Linked DNA regions of Oryzias latipes. The protein of the gene in region 1 purifies or fractionates together with the protein of each later gene. This does not show direct contact. Links are inferred from orthologs where the notes say so. Each region holds a gene or a part of one and is shown on either strand. Other genes may lie near its edges. The genes, in order: ift140, ift43 and wdr19.

Region 1 (3,658 bases):
GTGAGCTGGTAGCAAGTAGGAGATGGACTTATGGAAACCACCTTTAGAAAAAGATCAAGCTGGAACTTGACCCTTGTGGCAAAAAGGAGCTTTTTGAATAACTCCCTTCATAATTTAATTTGGAAATAAATACAACACCACATTACCTCATGTTTGTCTCTATCTTAAAAGTCATTCAATTTCAAAGGAATATTTTATAATGAATCTGTTGGAAGTTGGTGAATCAATAAGCAAAAACAAGTTGTGCTTCTTTTTATTTTGTCTGTCACATTCTGGGACACTTTTCACTTTTAACCATCTGAATTGTGGTTACATGGAACTCTTTTTAAGAATGTTCTAAGAACTGAGAAAAAAATGGCTGCTTACAGAAAAAGCAGATGTGATCACAGATCAGTTTTGGTTTCCAAGCACAATTTTAGTAACTAAAATGAATAATAGTCATCTTGTAGATGAAGTGAATCGGGATTGGCAGGAAAAAGACCTGGCTCAAATAATGTTTGTATTAAGCATTTTAAATGAACAACTGTTGCTTTTGGTACATCTTGTATAATTAAAAATGTAAGAACTTTAACTCACTGATATGCTTGGACCTTTCACTGTCAGATAGGAGCGGGTCAGATAATATATATAATATTTTTAATTTCAATAAATGTATTGCTTACTTTGGAAAAACTGTCTTTTTCAGGCCTAACAGATGGGGAGGAGGAGAATTAACAAATGAAATAAAAATGTGGATTAAAATCTGTTTAAAGCATCAGATGTTTGGTCTGAGCTGTAATATTTTATTTTTATGGTTTTTACTTTCACTTTAAAGAGTCAAAACTAGAGTTACAATATCGACTACTTAAAAATGAAGGGACAGAGGTTTGGACAGTGCTACTTAAAATGAACATTTTCTATACAATGTTACATAAACATTAAATGCATTCCTAAAGCTGCAAAATTGACGTTTTTTTCTTTCTTTTTTTTACATGCAAGTATGTAACTGTGAGAGCAGCATGTGTGCATATAAAAAAACAAAATAAAATGAGTATATTTATTTTTGTCATTTGAGGACTGCAGCAAAATAGTGACCTTTTAATACTTACTTATGCAATAATGTTAAATATGGATCTATGTTCAACCAACCAGATGAAAAATTATGTAAAAAAAATAACTTTAGCCTTTTTGCAAATTCTATTTTGAAGGATTACTTAAGTAAAAAAATATGTCATCGCCTTGAGGAATAACTAACCGTAAAACAAATATTTTAATTAAAACAGGTCTCACGTACAAAAAAAAAAAACAATAAATGAAGATGAGGATTTTAGTTTTTCACTGACAAAAATGACAAATTCACATCGATCTCAATTGGGTTCATACACTGACGTGTTTAGGCTTATAAAAACAAGAGTAATACTTTTTCACAGAAAATTCCATTCTAAAGTAACTTCACAATAAGAAAAAGGCTCTGAAACTAAAAGCTGGTTTCAAACGTAAATTCAAAATGTTGCTTTATAAAATGTTTCTTATTTGCTTTTATCAGAATTATTCTCATTCTACAAACTCATACATCAGCACATTATTTAGAGGTTGTTAACTTCAACCCATAGAGCTGTAAGGAATAAACTGCCAACCTTTAAAATGGAAGTTCATCTCTGCCCCAACTAATTACCAATAAGTCTGTATTTTACGTGAATACCAATTTGATTAACCACTAAAGCAAGGGTGGGCAATTTTCAGGGTTCAAGGGCCCGTGTCCTCATGTTTCCCAGATATCACTGCCCAACTCACGGCACATTACCTGGATCAGGCGTGTCAAGCCAGTCAGAACATACCAGAGCAGGATATGCTGGAGAACAAGCAGGAATGCACCCCTCTGTCATCAGCCGTTAAATAAAGCATCCTGAAATTTGACTGACACAGACATACTGTCCATCTATGTGAACAGAGGTGATGCTATCAAGTACATTCCTTAAAAAAAAAAAAAAGGAAAAAGCTAAATTCATATCTAAAAATGAAACCCATTGTTGATCAACCCCACAGTCAAAAGCCCCTAATGATACAGGTTACTCCTGCAGGAAATGCACACTCATGTGGGTGGGAGTCAAACACAATATCAACTTAAGCGGGCATAAAAATAGCCATCAATAAGGAACTCAGTAAAACTGTCATCATGACTATTAAATTCTTTGGAATATCCGGCTGACGGACTGTTTGACCATGCCAACGCCGTTTTGCCTTTTGCGTAATGTTTGTACGTGAGAAAGTACTAGGACTTGAAACGAGTGCCCTCAATCACGTATTCTCCCCAAGATAATATCATATCAGTGATGAATATCCATGTACCTTTCTTTTACACACACTCGCGCATGCACACACGCACAAAGGAAACGAGCACACGCACCCTTCTGCTGACATGATTTCATGTTTGGAAGAATGGAGCGGGCACTCCTTCTCCATCAAACTGGCAGGGGAACTTCATGTGTGTGTAATTCAGAATGTGTTTAGAAAAGTACATCCCTTCAGAACACACCCGCACAATAACAAAAACACTCACACATATACACACACTGAAGAGTTCCTTCCCTCCATGCAGATACCAAAAAAAACATTAAACATCTCCTGTGTTGTTCCTTTTTTTACTGTAAGTAGCATATTAAACTAATAAAAGATTGTCAGTTGTATAGGCAGTTCATTCATGATCTGATTATTTCTTAATTCTTAGAGAAAAAAAGAAGGATTTTTTTCCAAATAATTATGAAAATCTTTTATCAATGAAGATGTAAAAAGGGAGGTCTTAAAAACGTTTGCAATCGTATTTTGTGCTGATCATCAATAGTGAAGAACTGCTCATTTATGGGATCTACAAGTTTTTTTTTCAATTAAAGGTCATATTTTCCTTTTTCACAATTTTTCTTATTTAATCTTTAAAAAAAAATCTCCTTTAATTTACATTGGGCAGGCTATGTTTTAGTATTATTATCTTACCTTTTTATGAGCTTGATTGACCTAAAGGCCTTGTCCATGTCACCAGTGGTCAGATAGAAGCTGAAGTTGAGCATGGCATCCCGAGTGGCCTTTTCACAGCTCTCCAGACCAACAAAGTCTTTGAGAGGCCGCCTGGACACCATATGAGGGAACTGAGAAGGCTTGGATTTTGATGAGTGGGTCTGATGTGAAAGTGATGAGGCCTCAGTTGAGCCTTGATCCATCTCACCAGGCTGAGAAATGAAAGGCAGTTTTAAAAAAAATTGTGATTTTGCAAGTAACATTTATGGAATTGTGTTAAAAAGTTCTGTTATTTAAAAAAAAGCAAGGAAATACATTCAACAAATCTGGGGGAAACAAAAACTCTGCGGTTGTTGCGGAACAACATTGCATCACAGATCTACTCTATCCACCAACACAAGAGTATACAGGGCTGACGCTGAGGTCCAAACAAAGCATGGATGCATTTGTGATCATCTTTAAAGTTTCCTTTTTTAAATAAATGCATCACAAGGTGTACACAGTTGAAGGGGCTGGAAGCTGGGAGGCAACATTAAAGCTTTTTTGAACATTTTTTCAGGGAAAAGACTTACATCCGGTCGAAAGACACCACCTTTCCGAAATAACAGCTAGGGTGTGTTGGGCCAAACATACAATTTCACATAAAAAACAATGGTGGGCGTCAACA
Region 2 (2,658 bases), on another chromosome or scaffold:
CCGAGTGAAGGCTTCAACCTGAGTATTACAAATGAAGAAAGCTGATTCGAGGCCTGCTAAATAAAATTAAAAATCGGGATGTTTAAGTGATGAGCAGTGATTGAGCTGTTGGATGCGTACATTGTGTCCTTGAGGGCTTCGCTGTGCATCTCCAAATGCCACCAGACTGATCTCTGCCACTGAAATAAACTTAATCACACATCTGTAAATGTTACAACCATTTCCTCATAGACCTTCCTGGACTTTGGAGGTCCGCATTTATATTCAGACGCATGAACCAAAGACAAGATTGAATGTTGATACATGCAATCAGCACGCCTGAAGCACGACATGCAACATATTTAACAAACCACAAATGACTGAAGGGAATTAGAGCAAACGCAGTCTGCACTCTGTGCTTCAACAGGCCTGTGTAGAATTTGCTCGCTACTTTGAGAAAGATTTCACATTCTCTTGATTCAGTAAAAAAAGTATAATGTATGTTAATCCCTCAGGTGTCAATCGGAACTCTGTTCAATGCATTTGAGATAATAGTGAAGAAGGGGCTGTTCCTGTCGAAGAGCTGCAAGATAAAGTCAATGGCAGAGTCAATAACAATAAGGTTGTAGGCTTTAATGAGGAATGTTAATTTAAACACAATCAAGTGGATTTCAGCTTAGCTGATTATCAACCTTGGACTTGTATGTTGCTGTTGATAATGTTGTCGGTACAGAGAGGGCATGTTTATCTGTGACTGCTATTTTTAACAAACAATTCAAAACCTTGTGGGTTTATATACAAAAAAAGTTAGGCAACAAAACTGTTTAAAGACATTTATAAAAATACAACTCTGTGTAAAGAAGTAGTAAAATAAACTTTAATTAAAGGATCCAAAGTCACTTCAAGCCTGGTTCGCTGCTCTCTCCTTGATCCCATTCAATCAGCAGCTCCGAGGACACCTCTGTAAACAGATGATCCCAGTCCCAGCTCACATCATCCTGAAGAGCAAGGAGGAACAGAACAGAGGCCGAGAGCAGGAGTGTAGGAAGCAGAGGGAAGCACACCAAGAAGGAAAAGCAGAGAGCAAGGAGAGGAGAATGGGGGTGGGGGGGAGCAGAGGTTGTTAATGTACACATCATAAATCTTGATTACCTGAGAGACAAGAGTGGCAGCCTCCACTGGTGCTTTCAGAACAGCTGGGCAGTTCTTTATGTGGAGCTCAGGAGCTATATTTACTAAAAAAGAAAAAAAAATATTCTCACCTCTTTCACCTCCTGCTCTGGGGCTAAAACCTTAGTGAGAAGCTTCAAGTCGATCTCTCCATCCTGAAGAAGGAGAGATGTAAAAAGTTCCTGATTTTCAGTAACTGATGAGCATCACAGAGCTGAAGAGGCCATCTTGAAAAATGAATGAACCCAAACGCCATGACTTACTAAAGTTTGGAAAGCAGAGTAATGCTTGAGATCGTTGTCCAGATCTCTGTAGGTCATCACCTGGCTCACGTGGATGCTGAGAGTACAAAGAAGTCAGAACAATGAAGAAAAGTAAGCCAGAAAAGAAGAGTACCAAAATAATTATGCCTTCACTTTATCTGATACAAATCTGAGAAATATCTTCAGATAAGTTTGAGGTTTCCTCTGAAATAAGCTTCAGGACTTCAAGCAAAGACCACAGAGAGAAAAAGATGGTTGCCAACTGTTAAACGCTTCAAATTGAAACCCAGCTGCTTATCAGTGGGTTGAAATTAAGTGGGGGGGGGGGCTCTGAAAGTGGCCGGGACCTAGCAGCGCATGCCAGTCCTACTTACTGCACATTATACGCTACATTGCCCCTGCAATGAGTTCAATGTGGATATTATCTCTCACAGAGAGCAAGCCCCAGCCTAATAACCTCCACCACTGTCATAGCCTTGCTACACTGTCGACACATGTCGCCGTGTCTCTCACTGCCCTGTAAATCAGAGGACCTGGGTAGTACGGGGCCTGGAAACGGAGTTGCATAAATCACATCAAACTGTTATTTCTCTATTTCAGACACATAAAGCAAGGCGCACTGCGACATCACAGTCCCCACAGCAGCCTGCTTATAAGTATCCCGGGCACGGTCAAGGGTTAACTGTCACCCGCCTGTCTGGGACGAACAGTTCATATTTATTTGAATCTAAAGTGGTTGGGGGGGGGGTGACTTTAAGGAGCACCTTGGTGGAACAGCAACCTGCATCGTCAGATCTTCCTCCTGCACTTCATCAAGGTCCGGAATCACAGGAATATCTAAAAACAGAAGCAATATGATTGTATCTGGAAAAGCGTCAAGAATAAAGTCAATGCTTATCAATGCATAAATAGTTATTGAAGCACACTGCTTATCCAGCGTGAGGCTGCTGGAGGTGTGTGGGTCTGCATGTCATCTACGCTGTGTGACACTTTCTTTTCTCTCACTGCCTCATAAGAGCTGACCTGTCACAATAGCCATGCGGCTATGAATATTCAGCAGGCCGGGCAGCAGCTCATCCTGCTGTGATGGGGGGTGGGGGGTGGGGTGCTGGCCAGGGGCTCCCCCAGAAAGCCCCCCCCCCACTACCTTAGCATTTGGGCCCTGTCAGCGCCACAACCCCCAGGACCCACGGTGGCCAGTAGGCCGACCTCCACGTCCACTCTGCCACTCCGACTGGGGCCGCAT
Region 3 (3,758 bases), on another chromosome or scaffold:
AGTGCGTGGAAGTAAACAGTACCAGTGGTAGGACACAATGCTTCCATAGGTCCTCTGAAAAGCCAGTTTTATTGGGTTTTCTGGGTCGTTGATATTGAAGAGCATCAGGGATTTCTTATCCACAATCACACTCACCTGAGAAGGCAGAGATTGTGATCAAAATACGGACATGTGTAATGCTGAAACAGGTAAATATGGTTCTGTAAGGAAAACATCCAGTATAGACAAATTCATGTAATAAAATGCAGGTCAACACAAAATGAGTACTATAAAAATAGAATTAAAAGTTTAAAAAACAACATCTCATAAAAATAAAAGTGTTATCATCATAGAGTCTGCACTCAGGCTATTACAAACAGGAGTTAAACTATCTGTTAAACCAATTATGGAAGAAAATAGGACACATAGTTCTGATGAGTGACAGTAACAGGCTGCTGCACCACAAAGTGAGGAAGAGCAAAAAACAAAAGGCTACAAATAAAGTCAATTTTTCAAGTATTATCGAACAACCTCACCTCAAACAGGCAAAACATAACCTATGGTTAAAGTAAAACAAATCAAGCCAGAAACCTACAGTACTCTCTCCGTGAGATGATCTTTCATCTGTTTTCATCGATGAAAAGTAAATGTCACCAGGTTCTCCACGCAGTGCAGCCTAAAAAAAAAAAAAAAGACGGGAAAGATTAACTACCGTACATTTTTTGTGTCAGATTTCCGTGGTCGATAACAATAATAAATGTTCTGACACTATATGACACTAAAGGAAGTGCACCAGTACCTGTGAGATGGTATCTCCTTCATGGTTACTGATGGTGAGAGTGTTGTCATCGCTCCCCAGGGCCAATAAATTCTGAGAGTTCCAGCATCCACAGGTGATCCTTTTGGTGTGTTTCCCTAAAGTTAGACAACATCAGACATTTCATTCTGTAACACTCACCAATACTGACATGCAGCTTTTGAGGTTGCATTCAGTGTGCTTTACCTAAGACCGGGATTTTGCGTGAGGTTTGTCTGTTGTAAATCAACAGGTTTCCTTTGGCGGTCCCTACAGCTAACAGAGGGCCGGTCTTTGACCACAAGATGAAGGACATCTGATCTTTGCTGGGGACAACAAGAAGTATAAAGGCTAAAATTAGTATTTTTATTTGCACTGAGAATGTTTCATTTGGTAACTATTCTAACCCGTAGAGATTGATTATCATACTTCAGGCCACTGTCTATCTGTGATGTTTTATTGACACTGGCGTCCCACAGGTAGATGGAGACGGATTTTGCTGCAATAACGGCCAGAATGTCGCCGTCGTTATCCCAGTCCATCCCCATACAGCGCCTTACAGGAGGAGGATGAGGAGGAGAAAGAAAAGCAAAAAGGTCTTTATTTTATGTTTTTCATCCATCTTGATCAAACAAAAACAAACCCTAAAGAAAACGTCCCACTTACCCTGGAAGGTTGAGTTCAGTCCATTTATGTCCATACCGATCAAATATTTTTACCGAGTTGTCCTGTCTGTAGCAATAAAGGTAGAAAGAAACATTTTTGAACTTCTGGTTATAATCTTACCTTGATTTTTAAAATCCCCCCCCCCAAAAAAAAAATAATACTCACCCTGCAACAGCAATATAATTACCAAGACTTTTTTGCCATTTGTAAAGCAGGTTGGAGCCGGTCCAGGCCTTGTCGGCAAGAATAAAAACACTCTGTGGAGATATATGACTCTTTTAATATATCACTGATCCAAAACCTAACTTTTCTCTGAGGGGACAATTTACAGAGATGCCTCCCTTGTTTATGAAATCTGCAACTTTTTAGTGCAGTACACAGGTGAAAGGTTATTTAAAATATAATTGTTCCTACATTTGAAACAACAGATTATCCTCTCATTGGTGGCAAAATGTTTGGTTTCCTCCCAATTCTATTCACTTAAACTTGTCAAAGTGGCTCATTCTCAAATATCTATGAATTATTTGGGTGACTTTTAAAAAACATTTACTTAGTTTGGATAATAAAAGAAAAAAAATGAAATTGGAAAAAAACAAAACAAAACAACGTTTCTCTGCAAGTAGCATCAAACAACTCATTAAAACTCAGTTAAAAACTGTTGTAGCTTATACTTCCAACCCGTTTTACCTTTTTAAAAACATCGTATACACTCAAAATCCATCCACAACTCATTAAAGAAAGGCACGAATTAATTTAAGAACACATACATAAATTTACCTTAACCAAAGCCTGTGTAAAACGTTAGCATAGCACTCAACACCACACCGAACCAGCTTTTTTCCCCCAGACGTATTTCACAGTAACCACCACAAAGTTCCCTTAACTGCGATATAAATTACCTTCATTTTGTTTGATTTAATTATCTCGAAACTGAAGTTTTCGTGCCATCAGATTCTCAACCTAAAGGGGATAAAAAACGTATTTCCCACAATGCTTCACTCTCAGGCGTCCACTACAGCGATGTCATAGCAACAGACAGTAGCCAATCACACACCTCCATAAACTGCCGTTCAAAAGGCTCTCGCCTGAAACATTATTTTGTACCTGACACGATTTTATATTTGCAATTGTGCTCGCTCATTCCCTCAATATCTACAGGATGAGGATTTTCTGTCATGACGTAATCAGATAAAACAGGTTTCTGCAAAAATAAACGAATTAAGTGATGTTAATCCTTACATTAATTCCTAACAAAACATAGATTGGGGTTTGGAAAATGTAAATTTTTTCATTATTTTGATTATTTAATGCCTCAATATTTAAGGATTCATACCCTCCAGGGCTGGAAATATTAGGATTAAAAATAATCCTGATTTGGCCAGTAATACATTTCAAGTTTCTGAAAAGAGTAATTGTAGAAAGTTTGTTATAGTTTATCACTGCAGTACCGAAGAGGATTAGGGCCATGGACAAAGAAAAAAAAAGCGCATAGAAAATTCTGACTTTAATCTCAGAATTCTGACTTTAAAGTCAGAATTGTCTATGACCTTTTTTTTTATTTCTCCATGGCCCTAATCCTCTTCCGTACTGCAGTATGCAGCATGTTCGCACAATTAATATTTTTTGCATGTACTGTAATTAGGGCGCTTACTGGGTGACGAAAAAAAAAGTTTGTTGTTTTTTTTTTGTATTTTGTTAATTTCTTATGTTAAAAGTTGAACTCAAATATATTGTAGTCATGAGTTTCGATTGTGGTTAAATACTGAACTGAATGCACCTTGAAAATCAGAGCATCAATGTATGAAAACAACTGGTTTGTTGTGCTGTTTTACTTGCAGCTTTTTAATTGCAGAATCTGACCACAAGGTGGCAGTATTAACCTGGTCACCAGTAAAGTTCCGTTCCAGACGCCTCATTTTTGTGATTTGAGCTGTGCAGCTTCATCAACAATGAATTCAAGGAACAAACGCGACAAAAAATAATAGTTTCTTTAACGCCCTCAATTTGTTTATTAATGATTGTTCTCTGCCTGTTTATTGCCCTGTGGCAGAGTAGTTCAGATGAAAGTGTTATTTCTGAATTAAATCCACTGCTTTGAATGACTTTTCTTTGTGTGTGGGATCCTCCATAATGCCCTATGGAAATGTGAACCTTATTTCCACTTACAACATCCTCTAATTGTCTAGGTTTTCTGCCCCTCCGTGAGTTACCTCCTGTTAGTAGAGTCATCAGTTATCACACTTGCCTCCTGTTGGCTGTTTTTGTAGGAAGAGTCACTTTTTTTGTATTTTTTGGGTCATGCAATACGCCACAATCT

What was found.
Region 2: the proteins of ift140 (region 1) and ift43 purify together in Homo sapiens (affinity purification with mass spectrometry; 3 studies listed by BioGRID and IntAct, counting the BioPlex papers as one, with this or other methods). This does not show direct contact. The link is inferred for Oryzias latipes from reciprocal best matches to the Homo sapiens genes IFT140 and IFT43.
Region 3: the proteins of ift140 (region 1) and wdr19 purify together in Homo sapiens (co-immunoprecipitation; 3 studies listed by BioGRID and IntAct, with this or other methods). This does not show direct contact. The link is inferred for Oryzias latipes from reciprocal best matches to the Homo sapiens genes IFT140 and WDR19.

What each region holds. Positions count from the first base shown.
Region 1 is NC_019877.2:9,009,663-9,013,320, forward strand, and holds part of ift140 (intraflagellar transport protein 140 homolog), read right to left. Parts: intron 3,204-3,658; coding exon 2,971-3,203; intron 944-2,970; exon of another isoform or gene 1-943. UniProt on the Homo sapiens protein: Component of the IFT complex A (IFT-A), a complex required for retrograde ciliary transport and entry into cilia of G protein-coupled receptors (GPCRs).
Region 2 is NC_019880.2:13,343,625-13,346,282, reverse strand, and holds the end of ift43 (intraflagellar transport protein 43 homolog), read right to left. Parts: intron 2,250-2,658; coding exon 2,177-2,249; intron 1,489-2,176; coding exon 1,413-1,488; intron 1,305-1,412; coding exon 1,242-1,304; intron 978-1,241; coding exon 876-977; 3' UTR 598-875; downstream 1-597. UniProt on the Homo sapiens protein: As a component of IFT complex A (IFT-A), a complex required for retrograde ciliary transport and entry into cilia of G protein-coupled receptors (GPCRs), it is involved in ciliogenesis.
Region 3 is NC_019859.2:13,002,928-13,006,685, reverse strand, and holds the start of wdr19 (WD repeat-containing protein 19), read right to left. Parts: upstream 2,459-3,758; 5' UTR 2,347-2,458; coding exon 2,341-2,346; intron 1,699-2,340; coding exon 1,607-1,698; intron 1,508-1,606; coding exon 1,442-1,507; intron 1,331-1,441; coding exon 1,205-1,330; intron 1,102-1,204; coding exon 983-1,101; intron 895-982; coding exon 779-894; intron 656-778; coding exon 575-655; intron 136-574; coding exon 23-135; intron 1-22. UniProt on the Homo sapiens protein: As component of the IFT complex A (IFT-A), a complex required for retrograde ciliary transport and entry into cilia of G protein-coupled receptors (GPCRs), it is involved in cilia function and/or assembly.